Drosophila melanogaster: one gene and its partners. Changing the gene in region 2 together with the main gene of any one other region gives a genetic interaction. Each region holds a gene or a part of one and is shown on either strand. Other genes may lie near its edges.

Region 1 (5,051 bases), on a different chromosome or scaffold from region 2:
CAGGCACAGCAAAGCACTTAACGGCTGCTATATCGGTTTTATTATCGGCCATCGCCGATCGACTTGCAACCGAATGTTGATTGAATTTATGCCAAAGCATTTGTTTTCCGTCTCTTTTTGGTGTTGCCATTGACAGGCCACGCCCATTTGGCCCGTGGTTAACGAACATCGAGCCAAAGACACCGCCGATCAGATATATGTATATGGATATATGCTCGCATGTTTGAACAGAACTGATTTTGAAACAAGAGCGGTAGCTGAATACGTAAATAATTTATTGGCTTTGATCCTATAGGAATGTGCGGTAGCCGACAAACTTCGTTGATACATCCAGCAGATACATCCGAAAGATAGTTTGCACCAGACATATAGTCCATAATAATGTGCTTAAACAAATCAGAAGAGTTCGTTAACTTTAAGGTACAACGAATACGTTGTATGAGTATTTTTAAATAATTTTCTTAAAGTGTTTGTTTTGTAATTAAATACACTTTTCTATGATGTCACAACTAAAATTAAATCAATAAAAGCAACACCGAAGTAAACGTGCCGTGGAATTAATGAGCTTCAAGACGACATTGTAAATAAGTTAGTTCAATTATCCATAAGCAAAAACTTCAAATATGAATTTGTGTATTCTGAAATACACCGAAAAGCATTGGAAACGACAAAAGTTTAATTTTTAATAGTTTTTATTTTTCTTTGTATAAAACTAAATGCCAATCTTTAGACATACCATAACTAGGACTATAATAGAATAAAATACTTAGAGACAATAAAGATCATTCTTAGACTTAACAATTTGTATGTACAATAGCATTTGAGGGTGGGAATGATTACTACTTCTACGGCTCTTCCGCCGGCTAACTTTAAAATACAATTGCAAACAAGCTCAAAGATATATTTACAATTTTAACGTTTTCATAAAAAATAATTTTTGGATCCGAGCTCAATAGGTGAGTGTGAGTGTGTGTGTGGTGGTATATAGGTGTATGTGTGCGAGTGCAATGCAACTACCTGGTCAGGCTGTCTCTTTCCAGCAAAACCTGTCTGTCCCTATCTCTTTCCACTTCCCTAAGTGTGAGCGAGCACACGAATAAATTTACATTTTCTTTAAGTAACAAAAAATAAACAACGAGGGTTTTTGGGGCGACTCCTCCCACTTGGTTTTTTCGCCGTGTACTTAGACACACACGAATATTCCCCTCATGGCACTAGCCGCATTGTGGGCCACCGCGAAGCCACCGAAGTGGGTGGCCTCTGCACCACCTAGCTTCTGCCGCTTGACTTCCGCATGGGCGGTGGTGGTGTTCGGTGAGTGGGCGGCGGAGTGGGAGGAACTGCTGCTGCTGGTGGTCAGGCACTCGGCCTCCAGTTGGTAGAACTTCCGGCGCGGAGCCACCTCCACTTCTTGATCCTCGGAGCCGCTGTCGTTGAAGCTGTGCACGGAGCTCCGCGAGGTCTTCATGCTCAGATCCATGGGTCCTTCTTGAGCGGAAACGGTGGGAGGATGCACTGGTACAACGCTGGTGGTTTCGCCGCCAATGGAGCAAACCGAAACGGGCGACAAGCTCTGCATCTTGGCCGCAAAACTCAGCGGGCTGCTGCTAGTCGGAGTGGTTGGCGTGGCTCGGATGGCAATGGGATGCAGGAGGCTTGCGGACGACTGATGGCTGTGCACGGAGTGAACATCCTCCTCCAGGCAGACATCGATGGGCGACTGGCGGGCCGAGGAGGTGGGCTGCACCACTGGTGGCTGGCTGGCGGGACTAAAGCGGTTCTGCGACTCAACGGAATCCACGCTCTGGCGGTGCTTGTACATCTCCTGCCGGTAAGCGGCATCGGCAGCAGAAGCCGCTGCAGCGGCAGCACTTGCATGGTAGCCTGGGAAGAGGAGGTGTGGGGGCAGCTGGAAGGGCGACTGGTGCGGTACACCGCCCATCATGCTGAAGAAGGGCAGGGCGGCGGATGGGTCGGACAGATAGCTGGGATAGCCCAGCAGAGGCATATGTGGATGACGCGGCACCTGCTGCTGCTGCTGCTGCTGATGATGGTGGTGCAAATGGGCGGCCATGTCCCCAAATCCGGGAGTGTGTGGCGAGCCCACCGGGGAAGAGGCCGACGGGGCACCACCCACCGATACGCCACCCGCTAATGGAGGCGCCTTGCCCGCCGCTGCGGCGGCCTGTTCGTGCTCCTGCAGCAGACAATGGATCTTGAACCAGTTGGAGCGACGTCCGTAGCGGGATCCCCCCTTCGACATGCCCACGTTGTAGCACTTCCTCAAGCGGCACGCCTTGCAGGTGGTGCGGTTCTTCTTGTCGATGATGCACTTGCCCTCGTTCTTGCACTCGCTGATGGTGCTGATGTTGTTGTAAGAGCGGCCAAAGAAGGACTGCAATGGCGAAGGGAAGGACGAATGTGGCTTAGTTATGTGGTATGCAACTCATTAGCAAAAGAAGAGCAGAAATTCATTCAAGAACTTAAGGCCAATGGTACAACGATTTGAATCGCCGATGGCCTGTTCCTCGAACATTTCTAAAACTAACCCCTTGGGGGGTTACGTTCTGCTAATTTATTTGTCAATGGATTTCTTGAGACACAACTTACCTTGCAGCCCTCGCAGGTGAAGGCGCCAAAATGGAAGCCCGCCGCCGGCTCACCGCACACTTTGCATGTCTGGTTCATCTGGAAGATTGTAAAGAAATCCCGCGTTAGTAAGGGTTTAATCCACTGGTCGAGAGGTATATGTGTAATCCACAAGTAGGCGAACGGCTCTGGACACTAACCAAGTTGAACACCATTTTGGAATGATATTTGTTGGAATTTTGAATGCTTTTCTCACGATCGCTGTGAGGATCTGCTGTATGATCTGTTCGCTTGGAATGCTGCTGAGCAACTGATGCTGAGCTCTAGGCGGGCCAGGATATATATAGGAAACTGGGAAAAACTAGACAGGATGGGCGTTTTTTATGATCACAACAGGCCAAAAAACTTAAGCTGCCGGATTATGCAACCCTATGCGTTCATTTTCATTTTTTTCGCGCTGTCCAGTCATAAAACTCAGGTAGATTTTCTTTTTTATTCGAAGTCATTACGAGTGCTGCGAAAATAGTGTTCCCTAAAAAAATGCAGCAGCAGTCCAGACCTTGACGTTCGGCCATAAAAACTCACGCCGATTTTTCCCGAGTCAAACAAAAAATAGAAAATTCGGCTTATGAAAATTGTGATTTTTTTCCCGCTGCCTCGGGACGCAAAAAAATAAGGAAAAGATGGAAATGTGGCCGTTAGTTTTTCGCGTGAAACAGTAAAAAATAAAAGTAGTGCACAAGGGATCGTAAAATTTGCCGACGGCCGCGACCCAAAAACAAGAACCGTGAATTGACTTTGATCTCATGTTGTCTCCCTCGCTCAGAACTTACCTTTTTGCTTTTTTTTGTTGGATGGGCACTAGGTTTATGACGACTTTTTAATTGCAGCGATTCGCGATCGTTGCTGCACGTTTTCTCACTTTGGCAGTTTGTGTCTGTTATTTTTTTTTTTTTTGTTTTGTTTTCGGTTTGCAAGCACTTTTCGATCAGTCTGAGTGATTCAGGTTTTCAACACTTTGATTATAATTTTGGATACGATTTGATGTGATGTATGGTTTTTGATCGCCGAAACAACGCGGTTTGGGAATCCTCGATGTGTGTAACTGACACTTCGGCTACTAGCTGACGACTGATTTCTGGCTGAGAGGTTCGACTGGCAAGAAGCGTTTCTGTGTTTCGCCTACTGGCCGAACTCTTTGGCTTATGTACTCGCACTCACACCAAAGCAAACTTACCAGTTTTCAGCCCCAGCTCTCTGATAAATCACGGCTGAAACCACCACCTTTAAGACTCGGATCGAGTGAGAGAGCGATCGAGCACGCACACATGCGCATTGAGTTCGAACCCCACTCGAGCGAAATGTTAGCAGAATGTTAACGCTCTGTTGTTGAATGAATAGAAAACACTCACTCACTCATTCAGATCTCACGCTCAGTCTCTCTCTCTCTCTCGATTTTGAGTTCCCTGTAATCAGGCTATTTGCATGGCCCTGATATTATTCGTTATTCGTTTATTTATTAAAGATACTCGCGTGCTAAGGGCGGCTGGATTTCTCACTCACTCGAACACCACACACACACACACACACCACATTGACTAAGCTATTGACTTCATTTTTAACAGCTGCTCATTTTTTTGGCATGGGCGGAGCCGTTTTGGCTGCTCGAAATCGAAATGGTTGGAGGCCAATTCGCTTGGGGTTTTCTTTTCAAAGTCCGCCGGTTTTTGGGTACATTTAGAGTTGCCTGTATGCCTAACACCTAGTTTGATTTTCAAAACCTTTTTCCGCGGGAAATATTCCCACTTTCTGTGTGATTCACAAACTGATTCTCAAGATTTCATGAAATGTGTTAAAATTTGCATAACCGCGACTTGGCAATAAATTGAAACGCTTTAATTAGAAGTTAATCAATAAGAGATCTGCATTGATTCATAGCAAAAAAACGATAGTTGAGTATTATTGAGTATGTAATTGCGTCCGAAAAGTTATAAAAAATACTATTTAGACGGGCTATTACCCGGATTCAGAATGATTCATATTAAAGTAGTTGATTTGCAAGCTGGTTCTAAAATAGCATACAAAAATAGGTTTAAACCATACAAGTTCAATATGAATAGAATATAATTATAATTATTTTAATAATTTTATTAATATTACACTTTTAGTAGAGTAATATTTCGCAAATAAATCATGAAATTATATTATTCTTAAATATTATAAAACTTTCTTATCCTCTCCTTCACCATCATTATACTCAATAAAATACAAATATCAATCGAATTTAATTGTAACCCTTTTAAAAGTCAACTTCCAACATAATTTCTCCTTTGTGTAAACAAAGAGCCTTATGGCGGCACTTAACTCTTTTTATGAATATTTATTGTTGTTTGCTCAAAGCCAAAAAGAAAGAAGGAGCTACCTGTTTAACCCTTTTATGCCGCTAACCGATGTGCTTAACC
Region 2 (8,361 bases):
AAAGAAAAAACCTGAAGTAAAATGGCAAATCATCCTTGGCATGAAATCAGCTTACGAACTCAAGGTGATATCTCAACAGGCCGCAGGACAAAGGTCAGCAGAAGAGTGCGCCAAATCAAAACACAAAAAAAAGTGAAATCCTAATGAGATACTCCCTCCAGGGGCGAATCGGTCGACCACAAAATCCCAAGCGCTTGGCTGCACATCTTACAGATACATTTGCATATCATTTGGGAGATGCGAAGATCATGAGATAAAGATGTGCGGATCCGCCCTGTTGATCTGCCCAATCTTCCCCTCGAAGGAACTTCTGTTGAGACAGCCGCAGGCCAAAGGTTAAGGATAAGGATCATTTGCATGCGTGGCATGGACTTTCGGCAATTAGACGATCATGATCATCAGCATGTTTGTGTTTGTCCCGATCACCGGATAGGTATATCGCAGCTCATCAATTAAAAGGTCAAGCGTGACGGTCCTTGGGACTATTTGTTATGTCCTTAACTTCAACTTTACATAACTTTCCAAACGTAACTGGGTAGGATCCACACAGCACCCGCCCGCCTAAGCAACGCTAATCGGGCTGATCAGCGAACGCTAATCGCTCGGGACTAACTGGATCCTCCGGATCAGCGGCGCTGATCCTGCGTGATCCTGCGTACTGCGTAATGTTGGATTATGTCCTGTGCAGAAGTACGGCCAACTTTTAAATCGCTTTTAAATCCACATCACTCTAGTTCCAGTCGCACTTCTTCGGATGCGCGGATTAATGAACTGGGCGGGCCGATCAGGTAGCTTTGCGTCCTTTAATCCTTTCTTCGCTAAGTCCGGTTGCAGTTCGTATTCGTAATCCGGTTTGCCATGTCAACGTCAATGGCAGGTCTACCTCCGGTACTACCTGTTCCCGAGACGTCCTTTTGACACATATATTCCTCTGGATATGTGAGAGCAACTTGTATAATTTGCATTCCGGCGGCGATTTGTTTGCTCTGTTGTTTTGTAAATATTGCTTTTACATTTTCCCCACCCCCTCTGCCAACGCCCTAATTTCTCCCCGTTCCACTTTAGTTTTAGCCAAAATATTCGACATAAACAGGAGATTTTAGCCCAAATATTCCACATAAACAGGAGATTGAATAAAATAGCTGGAGGCACATTAATTCCGAACTTAATTATGAATTTGCATGTATGTTTTCTTTAGAAAAACTCTGATCCATACAAATAATAAGTTATCCTTTTGTATTGTATAGAGAAAAAAAGGTTTTTACCAATGAACTATGAATAATGAATAATAATAATAGTTTTTTTTTTTAGTCCAAAATTTGTCATTAAACCTAGTTAGAACAATCGCTCCTAATTTATCATTCTAAAAGCGAACATTCCGCTTGGGAAAAAAATTGGTCTAAACCGAATGATACTATTAATGATATGCATTTATTGCTAACCATAATCCTTGTCAAGCTAACAATGATACATTTTCCGAAATTAGCTTAAAAAGGTGGAATACACCCAATATGCACAAACTACCTTAAGGAGATTTGGAATTTCGAATGCTAATTGTGGCAAAGCTTTGCCCAAATTAAGTTAACACGCACAGCAACAGGAAAATGTGTTAAAGCAACAAGGAATCTCCTCGGCCCAAACTTCCATCGTCCCAATTGCAGTTGGCTAAGTTGTTAATGTGTCTGGGCTTAAAGTTGCCCAAAAAACAATTGGCGAAGGCCCCCCATCTTCCTCCATTTCCGCTCTCTCACTTTTGGGCCAGAAATCAATAATCAATAGTGAAGCGGAGATGCCAAAAAACGGCAAAGAGCCAAAAAGGCAGCTGCATTCGGCCAAAATGCAGCGCCAGAAAATGCAAAAGGATAAAATGAGCGAGTCAGAGCGAGAGAGTGGGTGAGTGAGTGAAAGAGCGAACGCCACGAAGGGGATGCTGTTTAGTTATTGCTTTTGGGGATGGGGAAAGTCACTCAGATTTACAGCTAGCATCCGTATCCGTTTTGAGTGAGTTTCGTCGTTACGTTGTTGATGCTCTCCGGCTGCTCTCTCATTTCGATTTCTGCTTCTCCGTGTAACGGCTCTCGTGCGCCTTTGTGTTGTTGCACTTCTGGCATTTGTTTTTGCTTTGCAATTGAGATTTTAGATTTGAGTTCTTTTTTGGCGAGTGCACTGTTGTGAGGAGCAGTGAGGAGATTTTCAGCTATTAGAAGAGCCCGCTGAGCGTGAGTTTGGTCAGTTGTGCTCCGAGTCCCGAAAACGAAAGTCGCCAGCATTGACAGGCAGCCACTGAAATACAAAAATAACCAAACATCCAAAGGACGAAACGTAACTGCTATCAAAACAAATATTGCCATTAAATACAATTAAACTTCGTGCTTGTGCTAAAAGATAACCAATTGCAAAAAGACTTTTGTCCCGAAAACTTATTTTTTGGCAAAGACCACATCCCGCACATGCGCGAATTCCGCGAAAAAGAAAGCACAAAAGCAAGCTAAAAAGCGAGGCCCAAAAAATAGACAAAAACGAAGAGCAAGGAGCCCCCACATCGCCGCTCCCCCTCGCACGCACTGTGCGTGTTGGTCTAACGGTAACCGTGCCGCGGTCAAGCGAGAGAGTGGGAAAGAGAGAGTCCGCGAGCGAAAAGCGAAAACTTACGTGCTCCTGCTCCTGCTCCCGGTTCCCGTTTCCAAATTCTCCCGCAGAATTGCACTTGGACTGTCCGCAAGGTAAGTAACTGGGCGTACCATCCAATATCCTAGTTATACACTGCATTCGACCTCCAATAAATCGTAAAAAACACATGGAGGTAGAAATTCGCAAAAGCTTTCCGCGGATAAACAAATAAACAAGAATTACAAATCGCTTTTGCGGGAGCAAATGCCAAAATGTTGGGGTATCCAGAATATACACAGTTTTTGTGAGGATTTACATACGCCCTGTAAATTTTAATTTAGTTCTCAATTGATACGAAATCTGTTTTTTTTTATAGAATATATTCGATATATAGTTGTTTAATTATAATTCATCATGTGATATACTTTCAAAAGAAACAGATTTAAATAGTTCGTTTATATGCTATTATGCACTATGCTTAATGTATTTTACTTTATTAATTCATGCTAATCTGATGACTGATAACCAATTTGCTTATTCTATGTCATAATCACCTTTAATCCCAAGTACTCAACTTTCTTCTAGTTCTGCACATTTTCTTGTTCTCTTCTTGTTGTTTGTAATCGAGTGCTTCTTTTTCTGTCTAACCTTAGGAACACAAACAAGAGATCTCACACACATGCACACACACAACCACACAGAGTGGTAAATCATTGCTAAAAATGCAAATGGCAAAAATTCTAAAACAATATTTTAAAATCTGTCTGGCTTTTGGCCGATCTTCGGGTGAACTTGTTTTTTGCCCGCTCTGTCTGTTTTTGCCTAGAACTGCAGCGTATATCCAACCCCCAACCGACCCCCCCCCCTCCTCATTTGCTCCTCCTAAGCAACGCCCCTGGCCACGCCCCCCTCTACGCCTGACAGCTAATTTTATTTGTTTACATGTCGACTTTCATGTTGTTTTTTTTTCGCCTTCCTGCCCCCCAAATAACCCCTTCAATTTTTAGCATTTCTTTTCGCTCTTCTTTCGGCAAATGCATTTTCGACTTTTCTTTTTTAATAATTTAAATTTAGACATCGAACTATAATTCAAAGTCAACGTGGCAATTTTTTAATGGCAAATAGTTCGGCACTTGCCAAAATGCATTTCAAATATAATGAATACACCTATGTGACGCTCGCAGGCTTTGTTTTTTTTTTTTGTTTAGGATGATGATGGGAATCATTATTGCACGATCTTTTGCAGAATTGATTGTCATCCGACAGTTTTAATGTTTGCCGACAAAAAGAACTGAGCGCATTTCAAACAAATGGGGCTTTGTTAGGCGCATAAAAATAAATATGCACATATTATACGGGATATATTTATAAACCGCAAATGACATTGAATCACTTCAGTCAGCAGCAGCAGTGCAGTTTTCCCTAAACGAATGCAGCTCCAAAAAACAACAAGTTGTTCTAAGCCAACAACATAACGGTTGCAACTACACATATGTATACGCATACATACATATATTTTATATACGCCTGCAAACAAGCAGGCATATCCTGCTCTTGGCTTGCTTTTTGTACGGATTTTTCAACAAAAACATTTTTTGTGTGGCGCATTTTCTGCGTTTTCGAATTTTTCCATTTTTGCCATTTTCATGATATTTTTAGAGGGTTAAAAAGGGGGCGGTGTTGGGGTGGGGGGGGAGGCACCAAAAACGACTAGCACATGTTTAGTTTACTTTTGCAGTTTCGGTTGCCTGGCTGCACTCGTTGTGGCCACACCACGCCACTAACCCCCACTGCATGGTCCCCATGCCCCCACCCCTGCCCCCTTGGCCCATGCCCCTGCCCGGCGTAATATTAATTTTACACTTGGCCTTTAGTTTGGCTTTGTTGCTGTTGTTGGGCATGGCACAAAAAAGCCCAGACGAAAGGCGAAAATTCTCTTTGTTTCATAGTGCGCACACACACTAACACACTTGCCGAGCAATTAATTTTGGCTTTCTTTAAAAATATCCACAAAAGCGAATTTAAATAAATATGCTAAGCTTCATTTTGTGTGGTGCACTTTCTGTTTCCTGAACCATCAATTATGCCTAAGTATTGTAGATATTTTAGCTGCCAGATAGCACAGCACCATCCTCCCATAATAATATTCCGTAAATGCCCCTTTTTCCCGTTTTGCGTTTTTAATAATATTTACTTGAAAGCACAAACAATTAGCCAAAAATGCAGCAACTGCACAATTTTTCAGTGTGAAATTGGAAATGGAAAAAATATAGGCAACAAGCAATTTTAATGCGAGAATTATTAGAAAAACTACGCAAATCAAAGTGAAATGTCTGGCGGAAAATTGTTGTCAGGAAAATGTTTTTCAAATGGGTGTGTAATAATTATACTGCACATATTATGCATATAGTTTAGTTGGTCCTTAGAGTTTTCCCGCAGGTGTAAGCAGTTCTGATCCGTTAATTTAGTTAAGTCCCGCAATCCTTTTTACTTTTTATTATTAACTACGAAACTGCCCACGCTAGCTGCCTACTCCTGCTGTCGACTCCTGACCAACGTAATCCCCATAGAAAACCGGTGGAAAATTCGCAGCTCGCTGCTAAGCTGGCCATCCGCTAAGCTCCCGGATCATCCAAATCCAAGTGCGCATAATTTTTTGTTTCTGCTCTAATCCAGAATGGATCAAGAGCGCAATCCTCAATCCGCGATCCGTGATCCTCGATTCCCGACCGATCCGCGACCTGTACCTGACTTCCCGTCACCTCTGCCCATCTAATCCCTTGACGCGTGCATCCGTCTACCTGAGCGATATATAAACTAATGCCTGTTGCAATTGTTCAGTCAGTCACGAGTTTGTTACCACTGCGACAACACAACAGAAGCAGCACCAATAATATACTTGCAAATCCTTACGAAAATCCCGACAAATTTGGAATATACTTCGATACAATCGCAATCATACGCACTGAGCGGCCACGAAACGGTAGGATATTGTTAGCCATTACCAAGTGTCTCCATTTTGAACACAAAATCACTCAAATCGCCTTCAGGGGGTGGGTGCCGCCCAGCCACCCCTGACGTATTTTTTGTTAGGGGTGGTGCCGCAAGCACACCAAAAAAAGAGAAAAAAAAAATAAAAGCGAGGAAAAATAAAATGAAAAACAAGCGGAAAAAAAGAGGAAAAAACTCGACGCAGGCGCAGTGCATGAATGAATAAATGAATATGCCCACTAACCCCACTCTCTCTGTTTTCTTATCCATTACAGCCGTCTAGAGCCGCCAAGATGCAGAACTGGGAGACGACAGCCACGACCAACTACGAGCAGCACAACGCCTGGTACAACAGCATGTTCGCGGCAAATATCAAACAGGAGCCAGGTCATCATCTCGACGGGAATAGCGTGGCCAGCAGTCCGCGCCAATCGCCCATTCCCTCGACCAATCACCTGGAACAGTTCCTCAAGCAGCAGCAGCAGCAGCTTCAGCAGCAACCCATGGATACCCTGTGCGCCATGACCCCATCACCCAGCCAAAACGATCAAAACAGCCTGCAGCATTACGATGCTAACTTGCAGCAACAGTTGCTGCAGCAACAGCAGTACCAGCAGCATTTCCAGGCAGCCCAGCAGCAACATCATCACCATCACCATCTGATGGGTGGATTCAATCCGCTGACGCCACCTGGTCTGCCCAATCCCATGCAGCACTTCTATGGCGGCAATCTGCGACCCAGTCCGCAGCCCACGCCCACATCTGCCTCCACAATTGCGCCCGTTGCAGTTGCCACTGGCAGCAGCGAGAAGTTGCAGGCACTAACACCACCCATGGATGTCACACCGCCTAAGTCGCCGGCCAAGTCGAGTCAGTCGAATATTGAGCCGGAGAAGGAGCACGATCAGATGTCGAACTCCAGCGAGGACATGAAGTACATGGCCGAGTCCGAGGACGATGATACCAACATCCGGATGCCCATCTACAATTCGCACGGCAAGATGAAGAACTACAAGTGCAAGACCTGCGGCGTGGTGGCCATCACCAAGGTGGACTTCTGGGCGCACACCCGCACCCACATGAAACCAGACAAGATCCTGCAGTGCCCGAAGTGCCCGTTCGTCACCGAGTTCAAGCACCACTTGGAGTACCATATCCGGAAGCACAAGAACCAAAAGCCCTTCCAGTGCGACAAATGCAGCTACACGTGTGTCAACAAATCCATGCTAAACTCGCACCGCAAGTCGCACAGTTCTGTGTATCAGTACCGTTGTGCGGATTGTGATTACGCCACCAAGTATTGCCACAGCTTCAAGCTGCATCTGCGCAAGTATGGTCACAAGCCCGGCATGGTTTTGGACGAGGATGGCACCCCGAATCCCTCGTTGGTCATCGATGTTTACGGCACGCGTCGTGGTCCGAAGAGCAAGAATGGTGGACCGATTGCCAGTGGAGGAAGTGGCAGCGGCAGCCGGAAGTCAAATGTTGCAGCTGTCGCTCCGCAGCAACAGCAATCTCAGCCAGCTCAGCCAGTCGCCACATCTCAGCTGAGTGCCGCCCTGCAAGGATTCCCTCTGGTTCAAGGCAACTCCGCTCCTCCGGCGGCATCTCCAGTGCTCCCGCTGCCCGCCTCTCCTGCCAAGAGTGTGGCCAGTGTGGAACAGACGCCCAGCTTGCCCAGTCCAGCCAATCTTCTGCCTCCTCTGGCCAGCCTTCTGCAGCAGAACCGCAACATGGCCTTCTTCCCCTACTGGAACCTCAATCTCCAGATGCTGGCCGCCCAACAACAGGCCGCTGTCTTGGCCCAATTGTCGCCAAGAATGCGAGAGCAACTGCAGCAACAGAACCAGCAGCAGAGCGACAATGAGGAGGAGGAGCAGGACGATGAGTACGAGCGTAAGTCAGTGGACTCTGCCATGGATCTGTCCCAAGGAACGCCAGTGAAGGAGGATGAGCAGCAGCAACAACCGCAGCAGCCGCTGGCCATGAATCTCAAGGTGGAGGAGGAGGCCACGCCTCTGATGAGCAGCTCGAATGCCTCGAGACGCAAGGGACGCGTCCTCAAGCTGGACACCCTGTTACAACTGCGATCGGAGGCCATGACATCTCCCGAGCAACTGAAAGTACCCAGCACACCCATGCCAACTGCATCCTCGCCCATTGCCGGACGCAAACCCATGCCCGAGGAGCACTGCTCGGGCACCAGTTCGGCAGATGAGTCGATGGAGACGGCCCATGTGCCGCAGGCCAATACCAGTGCCAGTTCGACGGCGTCCAGCTCGGGGAACAGCTCCAATGCCAGCAGCAATAGCAACGGCAACAGCAGCAGCAATTCCAGCAGCAATGGAACCACCTCAGCGGTTGCAGCTCCTCCATCCGGAACTCCGGCGGCGGCGGGTGCCATCTACGAGTGCAAGTACTGTGATATCTTCTTCAAGGACGCCGTGCTCTACACCATTCACATGGGCTACCACAGCTGCGACGATGTGTTCAAGTGCAACATGTGCGGCGAGAAGTGCGACGGACCCGTCGGCCTCTTCGTTCACATGGCCAGGAATGCTCACTCCTAAGTTCCCCATCACCATCACCTTGTTATTATTATTTATCACTATTATCATATAATCGTTGTCCAGAATTGTATATATTCGTAGCATAAGTTTTCCAAACATTATTTTGTTGTCGAAAATTGTACATAAGCCAATTAAGCCGCTAATTCTAGACCTAAGTTTATCTAACTATCCTAACTGTATTGAACTGTAG
Region 3 (4,687 bases), 1.8 Mb from region 2:
TCACCCACCGACCACTTTTGTCTAATGAGTCGGATAAATGGTGCCGGGATATATTCGACTGCACATGGATCCCCTTTGCCTTTGATATTGATTCTGATTCCGAATCCGATTCCGCACCGGGCTTTTCCTTTTGCGTTGCGTTACCCATAACTGTCACGGATGTGCAATGAAAAATTACCAATCAATGTCTCACTTCAATAGAGGAACGTGCAGCGGCGGAGGGAGGAAGGGAGCAGGGATGCGGTGGTAGATATGCCCCGAAGCCAGACCAAAATGTGACATTTTCTCTGGCGAAAAGAGTGCATTTAATAGAAAATCCGGGAGATAGCAATGGGTCAGGGATGAGGGGGACTGAAGCGACAAAATGCAGCTGCTCGAATTTGTACGATTCGTGCTCAACATTAAATCGTTTGCGTTTCGTATAAGTTCGAAAGTAATGCTTCAACCATGTGCAATTCATCAGAAAGTAAACCAAGAGATCTCTTAAGCTTCTCAACGAACAATTAAATATTAGGCTTATACTTAAATAATTTAAACTCCTTAACTCCTAAACTCCATTTTTATCATATATATGTATTATATGCATATATAAGGTATGAAAATAGGCTGAAGGTAAACTTTGCCTTGTGATATGTTTTCGGTGAAAGTAGTTAGACAAATACCATACGTTGATCCAAACTATTTTAAGAATTTATTGAGTAGTTATCATTGAAAGGCATTTAATTTTATTTCAACACATATACATATGAAATGTATTCCACATACGCGGCCCACGGCCTATAAATTTAAAATTTTAAAGCAGTCAAATTGCAGCATGCCCAAGACTCTTCTTCACAAATTGCCAAATGAATGTTCAACTTGATTTGTTTAAATTCGATCGATTTACTTTACTCGTATATTTAAATAAATAGAATTCTATGATAGGAATATCTTAACTACTATATGTACAAAAACATGTGTGTCAGTCTCCAAGTCTCTTGGCCATTATCACTCCCAGCTGAGTGTTTTGGGCTTGTGTTTGGCCGCAGCTAATCGATCGCTGAGAACCCATCATGGCCAGCCACTGGGTTCCGCGCGCAGCAAGGCTCCTTTTCTGTTTGCGCTGCCTCTTTTGCCTCTGCCTTCTGCACTTGCGCACTCGTCCTTGTGCCCAAAATGTCCTGGGCACCGTAGGGAGTGCGCCCTCTACTGTGCAACTCATCGCGTCGCAGCTTCGTTCTCGGCTGTGTCATTTGCGTGTCACCTACAAATGGTCGAGAGAAGTGCGCTTCGGTTTCGTGGCGGTACGGCTTTCGGTTCCGCTCTGGGGAAGAGAGTAACTGAGCATCGCCGGACCTCAAGACAGATGGTAGAGGTCCTGTGGATGTTGCTGGTAGCTGCACTGATGTTGGTACTGCTGCGGGTAGGCATCGTACTGCTGGTGGGTCTGCTGCTGAGGGTAATCATTGAGCAGGCCATAACCATGACTGTGACTGTGGCTGTAAGCGGGGTAGGCGGCGGTGGTTTGGTGGTGGTGGTACATGGGCACTGGCACCGATGGTGCCCCGGTGGTGGCGGTGCTTGTGGCCTCCAGTGGCGGCAGCATCGCGGTGTAGCCGGCACCACAGTGCTCCGGGGAGCTGTCCAGCGTGCGATCCTTCTTCGACTTCATGCGTCGGTTTTGGAACCAGATCTTGATCTGCCTTTCGCTCAGGCTCAGGGCATTGGCGATATCGATGCGACGACGCCGGGTGATGTATCTATTGAAGTGGAACTCCTTCTCGAGCTCCAGGGTCTGGTAGCGGGTGTACGTCTGACGGGTGCGTTTCGAGTCTTTGCAATCTGTAAGCATAAGCAAAGAAAAAATGGGTTAGCTAATGAGTTTTATAACTGCGTATTGTTTGAAAATATCAAAAATGTATACAAAAACATATTTTCAATATTTTCAAAGTGTATTTTTAGGGGTTGTTAATCGTGTGTGATGCCTACCTGATGCCAAAGTCTCCTCGATGTGCGACCAATTGAAATCGCCGGCTCCATTCGGGGCTGTCACAATTCGATGATTGATCTCCTGGCTGACAGCTGACGAGGATTTCTCCCCCGGCGATTGGGGTGGCGTGCTGATGCCTTCGAGGGGCGGCAGAGAGGTGGGCGTGGTTGGCGGAGGGGTGGCAAAGTCGCCATTCTTCAGCTTCTGCGTCTGCGACTGGGGCGAGTAGACGTCCAAGTAGTCGACATCCTCGGAGGCGCTGGGCGTGGGCACAGTCACGTACTCTTGGTCGTAGCTGGGAGCGGGGCTGGCGGTGACCTTGGTGCTTACGGCGGGAGCCTTCTTCACCTGCTCGACGGTTGTGTAGAAATAGTCGGGGGTGTACTTCAGCTTCTTCACGGGATTGGTGAGCAGAGCCCTCAGTGTGCTGGGTCGCTCCTCCACGGCGGCGATGATGGAAGCAGCATCATCTTCGGCCTTGCGCTTGGTGGCCTTGGGCGGCGGGGTGGTGGGTTGCACGGGCGGTACAGTCTGGGTGGTCACCTGCTCCTGATTGTTGTAGTAGTAGCAGCTCTCCGAGTAACTCTCCTGGGGATAGTAGCCCTGATAATTGGAGGTGTTCTGATAGTAGGCATTGCTGCCTGAATTATCGTAGTAGGTGGGCGGCAGGCTGTGGGGGTGATACATGTTGTACATGTTCATGTTGTCGGCGTAGCTGTAGTGGCTCTGGCTGTTTGTGGTGGCCATATCGGATGTGTATTGCTAGATTTCTTCTCTAACTCTGCGATGTGCACGCAACGCTGGTGAGTTTGCGAATGAGCTGGTCCTGCGGCAGATCCTGCATATATAGCAAAATCAGAGAGCCCTCGGCACACGCTCGCCGTTATAGCGCATAAATATCCCTGCGCATGACACTTTGCCGCCTGCTGTTCGCAGCCACCCCTCCGGCGAAATGTCCTTGCAGGCACGGAGAGGGGAAGTTATCCGAGGTCCTGGCAACTTTATCCGTACGGTGCCTACCTGCTGCGCGGCTTATTACCTACCCATCGCGCCCATTATCATCGCGATTTATCCGCCCGCGCGCTTCTCCTACTCGGCGACCTTGAGACGGTGCTGCAGTAATTACGGCCATGAGGTGCCTACCTATGAGGTGCGCAGAGCGAGAGGGCGCGACTCTCAGCCGATCTCCCTCTAATTGCAATAATCATAAAGACATAAAAACTGTAAACTGTTGCTGAAAACGTTCCTTCGGGGCAGAGGCTTTTTCCCCGGCCCGTTTATGGTTCCCTAAAAATTTCTCTGGATTTTTGCCAGCGCGCAAAACACCGAAGACTGGCTGCCAGTTGTTCCCGGAACCCGATGCCCTTTCCCTCCGAATTTATTTCGTGGCACTGGGCGGCCAAAGGATAACATTACGTCCGATCCCTGGGATCAGGAATACGCGTGGCCGAGGGTCGCGTGTTTGCGCTTTTTGTTTGCCCTCGTGGCCAAGCAAGTGCGCAACTCCCGATTCCCAAACTCACTCCTGTGCCCGGTATTTGCCTAAAAACCAACAAACGCACTTCCAAAATGACTAGTAAACAGTAAAAACTTTATGCAAACATCCTTTGCCTAAATTTTAAAAATATGATATAAATTATATGCCCGCTGATTTTTCAAATGAATACTAGTTTTATTTTATTTTTTACGTTATACTTTTAAAAATGATTCTATAACAGCAGAAAACCAGCAATATTTTAATAGCATAATATTGTTGAGAATATAAAGCTTTTACGCTTTTTTTCGGTAACTCTGTGATATAACCCTCAAGTTTTTATAAATTTTAAGTAGGTTGTCTATGGATGCTGTAATTTTTAATGGCCAAATGGTAATGTATCCTTTGTGAGTGGTAATCTTGAGTTAAATTTGTGGCACAAAACTTGCACAGCGTAGGATCTTCATGTTTAATTATAACATTATAGCTCTTATACTTATACTTATATGGATCAAGAATATATATACTTTGTAGCACTGCAATTGCTGCCTTCTACCTGTTACATTCATTTCAGTAAGGGGTAAGAATGCCACAGGCTTCACGATTTACTATTTCTCATTCTTTTAGAAACTGAAGGTTATTTCTGGTAATCTAAAAATCTACTTCCATCTTAGGTTCGCGTATAACCTGAAATCAGCTCAGCTAAATTGACTGGTAAAAAACAATCATCTCTCAGCCACTTTTGTGTTTACATGACTTTCTGATCGGCTTACGCGGCCTGGATAAATTTTATTAGCCACCCCCGTTGAACACCCCTAACATATCGATACTCCTGACATATGTGTGCATGTGCGAATTCTACCCTTACCCCATCCGCATACTCTGGCAGATTCCATTGTTCCACAAAATTTATGGCGTTTTTCAGTTTGACAGAAGAGACTGCAGTTCGCATCTCTCCGATGTCCTGTGATTGCTATATTGCCAGTGAATGTGAGCCTCCTTTCTGGTTTTGCAGTAAACTTAACAATAAGGGTGTAGAGTAGGATATAAAACCATCCGATAACTTATGTTTATATCTATCAATCAAAGAAAGGAAAAACAGCTCCCCAAAAATAAAATTCTTTCGATACCGAATCATTTACTAAAATAATTTCATCTCATTTTATTTAAATATTGTTAGGATCCTTTTTTAACGCAATAAATAAGGGCGAGGGCTACTACTTTTGACTAGGTCTTTGAATTTA
Region 4 (4,962 bases), on a different chromosome or scaffold from region 2:
GCTGCTGATGCTGCTGCTCTTGTTGCCGCTGTTGCGTTGCAGTTCGTCAGCAGCAAATTGCGTCGCTTTGATTTATGGCCAACTCAACTGCTCCTTGCTGCCTGTGGCGACTTGTTTGCCGCTCCGGTTGCTGCCTCAGATTATGATATTGACCCATGGACCGCTGGCGATATGTATTCCTCCTTCTGCCTCCTTTGCTGCCTGCAAATGGGTTGATAATTAAAAGTGTCTTCTTCGGCTGAAAGCCTAATTTGCTGTTAACTGCACTTTAAAAAGCTGTTATTAAATACATAGAGCGCTGTGATCTTTACGACTCGATAGCGGAAGTAATTGATTTTTCCCTTAAAATAACTGACCCATCCACATTCCTGTACACGTGACTTTTCACGTTACAGGTGGAAACAGTGGATTTGTTTGAAATCGAACGGATGTTTGTATACCTTATAACTGAGATTAATTAGTTTAGTTTATTAACTGGCTCATGAGTATATTGCATTGTCAGCCCATTCTGCGATTACAAGTTTGTATTTTGATAAAAAAATATATAAGGGTAAAAGTTTAAAAGTTAATATTCTCTTCTAAAAGGTAAATGTAAAGTAAGTTACTGATTAGAAGTTTTACTGTACCTAGCATTGAATGAAAATGTTAATATGTGAGAAACTATATCATTCAGTTAAATAATTACAGAAATTCCATACCACTCGAAAGTAAACATGTCATAAAAGTACATATCGCAATTTATATAGTTTAAATGTTTGCTCTTTTAAATTCGTTTATTGAGCAGTCCAAACATTTCTCTAAATTTTCCCATGGCCTGTCGAATCAGCTCCCACAAGTGAAAAGTGGTTGTATACAACTTTACAGCAGTAGACACCATAAAAGGCACTAAAACCTAAACTTTGTATTATTATGCAAACAAAAAATGGGAGAATGAAAATGGGCACATTTACCAAATGTGGTTTGAAACGAAATTGTTGTAAATTGAAAACAAATTGAAGTCAAATGAGATAAGGAGTGGGTGGGTGGGTGTCGAAAAATCACGGCAAAAGGCGATGAAATCAAAGGAAATAGAAATGGGAAATTAAACTACAAGCGCAACGATCAAATGCCCCGAACAACAAGTCAACTTGGCCAGATAAGATACGGTGCTGAAAAGTGCAAGTGCGTTTATGGAAATGGTTATTTACATACATTACCAAACGGGTTTATGTACATATGAGCCACGAAGAGGCGGGTCGGGGCAACTAACATTAATGGCACTTGTAAACAAATCAATTGAGTTGTCAGTATCGACGGCAAATTGGCCGCAACCAAAGTGCCACACGAAGATTGTTTATCAATTTTGCCAGTCGGTAAATTATGTTCTTTGCATGTCAGCAACCAATTGCCAGGAATCGATATATCTGCCGGTATGATCAAAGCGAACGCCGACTAAATGCAGTCACTTATTCCTCGGTGCTACTTTCAATAATTCCCAATCGGCACGGTAATTCCTTATTGGGCCGACAATATCGGGGCTTTCGCTATTTTTGTTTAACTTCATCTTGTTTTAAAATTAAACACAATTGCTTACTCCAATTGGAAACGTATCGCCGATCATATAATACCGAACATTGCCATTGTGTTTGTCTTCAATTTGGAATTTGTGTTTTCATAATTTTCTATTGGGTGTACACGGTTCGGTTGTAAAGATACGAGGGAACTTAGTTCGATGATGTGATTTGCCTGACTTTCGGTTGAGAAATTGTTTGTCGTGATTATCGATCGAATCATTGCCAGAAGTGGAATTGTAAAAAACCCATAAAAATATATATGTGGCACATCTAAGATAGGGTACACAAATCACAGAAGGTTTATGAAAAATATATGGAATGGAACAAATTTAGAAAAAGTTATTAAACTATCCTTTAAATCAAATACTATATTCAATATATATATATATATATTGCCTCATTTTGAAGATAATTGCTTGTTATTAATACATTTTGCATCTTAATTTGATCTAACCTTAAGATTTTCCATTGTTAAAGATTTGACCAGAACATGGTCACAATTTTGTTATGATTAGCTAAAGCCCGACCAAGATCTCTATGATGGATTCAGTTCGCCCGTCCAACTACCATAGTCAGCCATATCGGGACACTTGTTGGCCCTCAAACACATATGGCCAATTAAGGACGCTGAAATACGCGCAGACACTTGGGAAAGCTCATTAGGAATCTGACAGGCCAGAAGAAACAGTTCTGCCCTCTCTCTCTCTCTTGCGGCATCTGTATCATCCATCTGGCTGATCCATCGATCGCATTGAGTGTGGGCGTTACAAGACAAGCTCCTTGACACACTCAGTGGGTACAAAAGAAAAAAAAGAGTTAAACTCACTTGGGCTGGAAGATGGCGCACCTCCTTACTGGTTTTTCCTCTACTGGTTTTCGCCTGCTGTCACGAATTATAATTTAATTGTTTACTTTGCCACACTTTTATAAATTGTAATTGCCAACGAGAATGGCGACAGCTTCACGCCCTTTCTGCATTTTCTGTGGGCCGTCGAGGTGAGGTGAGGTGATCTCTGTCTTTTGGGACAATTCTCCGAGACACGCTTTTTGATTGACTTCCGACAAACGACTGACTTAAAAAAACGCGCAAGGAGATATGGGCAAAAAGTAAAAAGTGAAAAAAAAGCAGACTAAAGAAAAGAGAAAGAGCAAAAAGAAGCAAAGTTCGCGACGACTTCCGACGACGTCCGACGTATCCACAAAATGTCAAGCGAGTACAAAAAATACTTTTTTTTTATAGAAGATGTTGGAGAGAGTGAGTGAGTGTGAGTGTGCCAGTGTATTGGTCTGTTTGCGATGTGCCTCTGTGTGTGTGTGTGTGTCTGTGGGGGTGGGGAAAGGGAGCCATAAAACAGGTGGAGGGGGTGGTGCGTGGGTGTTTTGGGGCGTTTGACTTCGTTTTTCTTTCTCTTGCTTCTTTTTTTTTACAGGAGGTTTTAAAATGAAAAGCTTGTATTGTGTGGGTGGAAAATAGTACTGCATATGTGTGTGTGAGTGTTCTATATATGTATATATGGGTGGGTGGCTCTTATCGGATTCCGAATTATGTATGTATTGACTGCCGCTGCTTCTGTTCGTTGAGGGAAGAAATAATATGGGGGCTCCTAAGTTGATTTGTAGTTTAGAGCGGCATGAAAATTTCCTCTTGAAGGGAATTGAGAAGGAGAAGAGGAGTCAGGCTCATACGAGTAACCGAATAAGGGTATACAAGTAATTCAGTTTGCAAAATATAATAAAATATATTAAAATTCTTATTGATTCAAGTACTGTTTCTCATCATATGATTCATTATTTATTCGGCACAAGATACAAGATTTTTTGATTTTTTTATGGCCGCTTATATACCAAACCGTTTTCTTTCTTTTATAAAAATAATAAGTTTTATAAAATAAAACATATAATACTAAAGCAGATGATTTTATGGGCAAAACAGATTTAATTCCTTTCAAAATCAATGTTCCGACGGCATTGCACTTGCCAGAAATCACAACACAACTCGCGTTACGCATACGCCCCGTGGACAAGTCGGAATATCAGCGAATGAAAAATGAAAAAAATTGACATTGCAATGATGGCAGAACCGAGAATTATTCGCCGTGCTGTCAAAATGCGAATGTCAAGGCAAAAAACGAACCAAATGCAGACAGATAGCCAACAGAATCCGCTGAACGGCGGCAAAAGGCAAAAAGCGATAAACGCATAAATTAAAATAATTACAAGAGGCGTCCTCAGATTATTGTTGTTGCTGTCACGCACACACAGCTAGTTGAAAAAATAAACAAGAAAAGTCGCGAGGACGACAACCGACAATCGGCCAACGGAGTGGCAACTGAAAAACTGCAATTGAATGCAACTTGACCAGGCCAAAGCATCTAGAAGAAGAGCAGTACTAGCTGAATAAATGGAAGAAGAAGCACCACAAGCAACTGTAGTAACCATACACTTACAAAAATTATATAATATATATTCCAGTCATTTTCTATTGTACCATTTTAATATTTAACAGAAATAAACCTTAAATTCTATATTTTATCTTAACAAATATTCACAAACACGTCTTGGTATAACTTAATTTGGTTTTTATTGTTACTCTAAATAGAATATATTATAATTTATACATTTATATATAAAGGTTCTAAGCGTATTTTAAATACATTTCTTTTACAATTATAAGTAAATTTATAATGTTAATAGGCTTTTAATGAAATTGTATTATAACCAATATATAAAACTTTTCTAAGTGTAGAATCAGTTGATTTTTCTCGGCAACTTGGGATCCACATTGTTGCAACAACGTAGTTGTTGCCGCTGTTGTTGCTGTTGATTTTATTCAAAATGGTTTGTTTATGCCTGAACAGAAAGAGAACGCAAGAGAGAGAAAGTGCGGAGGGAGAGGTAGAAAATCTTGGGGAAATATATCCAACAAGCGCGCTCTCTCCCGCACAAACACACTCACCCAAAGTGGGCAGCCGGCAGCCAATCGGCATGGAGCTTTGGCGCTCTCTTGCGGCGCATGCTCGCTCTTCGTGGGGAGCTCTCTCCATTTCGCCGTTGGCCATTGTGTGTGCATGTGCGCGAATTCGCCGCGGCGTCCAGATGCTGCGGGTGAAAAAAAGAGAGCGAGAGGGCTTTTACCTTTTGACTGCTAATTTCCGTTCATTAAAGTTGGCAGTAGCTTGGCTCGCTCACTATTCTATATGTTCCACTCCCCCATGCCGCCCCCCCTCAGTAGTGAGTCCTTAAAGATATTTCGCCTTGGCCGCAGCTTTAATTTCATTGATTAGCGCCGAGGAAATTCCCTTCTTGGCCCTTTTATTTTTGGTTTGTCACTTCTATTCACTTGTCTGCCCGTCTGCTTGTGTTTTGGTTCCTCTGCAGCCTCCTTTACATCCTCTTTTCCACTATTCTT

The links.
Region 1: of hb (region 2) and kni, changing one suppresses a phenotype caused by changing the other (phenotypic suppression), as found in Drosophila melanogaster (one study listed by BioGRID).
Region 3: of hb (region 2) and ftz, changing one enhances a phenotype caused by changing the other (phenotypic enhancement), as found in Drosophila melanogaster (one study listed by BioGRID).
Region 4: of hb (region 2) and pdm2, changing one suppresses a phenotype caused by changing the other (phenotypic suppression), as found in Drosophila melanogaster (one study listed by BioGRID).

Annotation. Positions count from the first base shown.
Region 1 is NT_037436.4:20,691,653-20,696,703, forward strand, and holds kni (knirps), read right to left. Parts: upstream 2,905-5,051; 5' UTR 2,805-2,904; coding exon 2,790-2,804; intron 2,689-2,789; coding exon 2,611-2,688; intron 2,396-2,610; coding exon 1,184-2,395; 3' UTR 678-1,183; downstream 1-677. UniProt on the Drosophila melanogaster protein: Transcriptional repressor. Binds to multiple sites in the eve stripe 3 enhancer element. Plays an essential role in the segmentation process both by refining the expression patterns of gap genes and by establishing pair-rules stripes of gene expression.
Region 2 is NT_033777.3:8,691,688-8,700,048, reverse strand, and holds the start of hb (hunchback), read left to right. Parts: upstream 1-2,226; 5' UTR 2,227-2,723; intron 2,724-5,448; exon of another isoform or gene 5,449-5,593; intron 5,594-5,876; 5' UTR 5,877-5,894; coding exon 5,895-8,171; 3' UTR 8,172-8,361. UniProt on the Drosophila melanogaster protein: Gap class segmentation protein that controls development of head structures.
Region 3 is NT_033777.3:6,862,423-6,867,109, reverse strand, and holds ftz (fushi tarazu), read right to left. Parts: upstream 2,787-4,687; 5' UTR 2,717-2,786; coding exon 1,969-2,716; intron 1,822-1,968; coding exon 1,337-1,821; 3' UTR 866-1,336; downstream 1-865. UniProt on the Drosophila melanogaster protein: May play a role in determining neuronal identity, may be directly involved in specifying identity of individual neurons. Required during embryogenesis for the process of body segmentation.
Region 4 is NT_033779.5:12,655,491-12,660,452, reverse strand, and holds the start of pdm2 (POU domain protein 2), read right to left. Parts: upstream 3,289-4,962; 5' UTR 2,380-3,288; intron 202-2,379; 5' UTR 1-201. UniProt on the Drosophila melanogaster protein: DNA-binding regulatory protein implicated in early development. Involved in neuronal cell fate decision. May act as an octamer-dependent activator of transcription.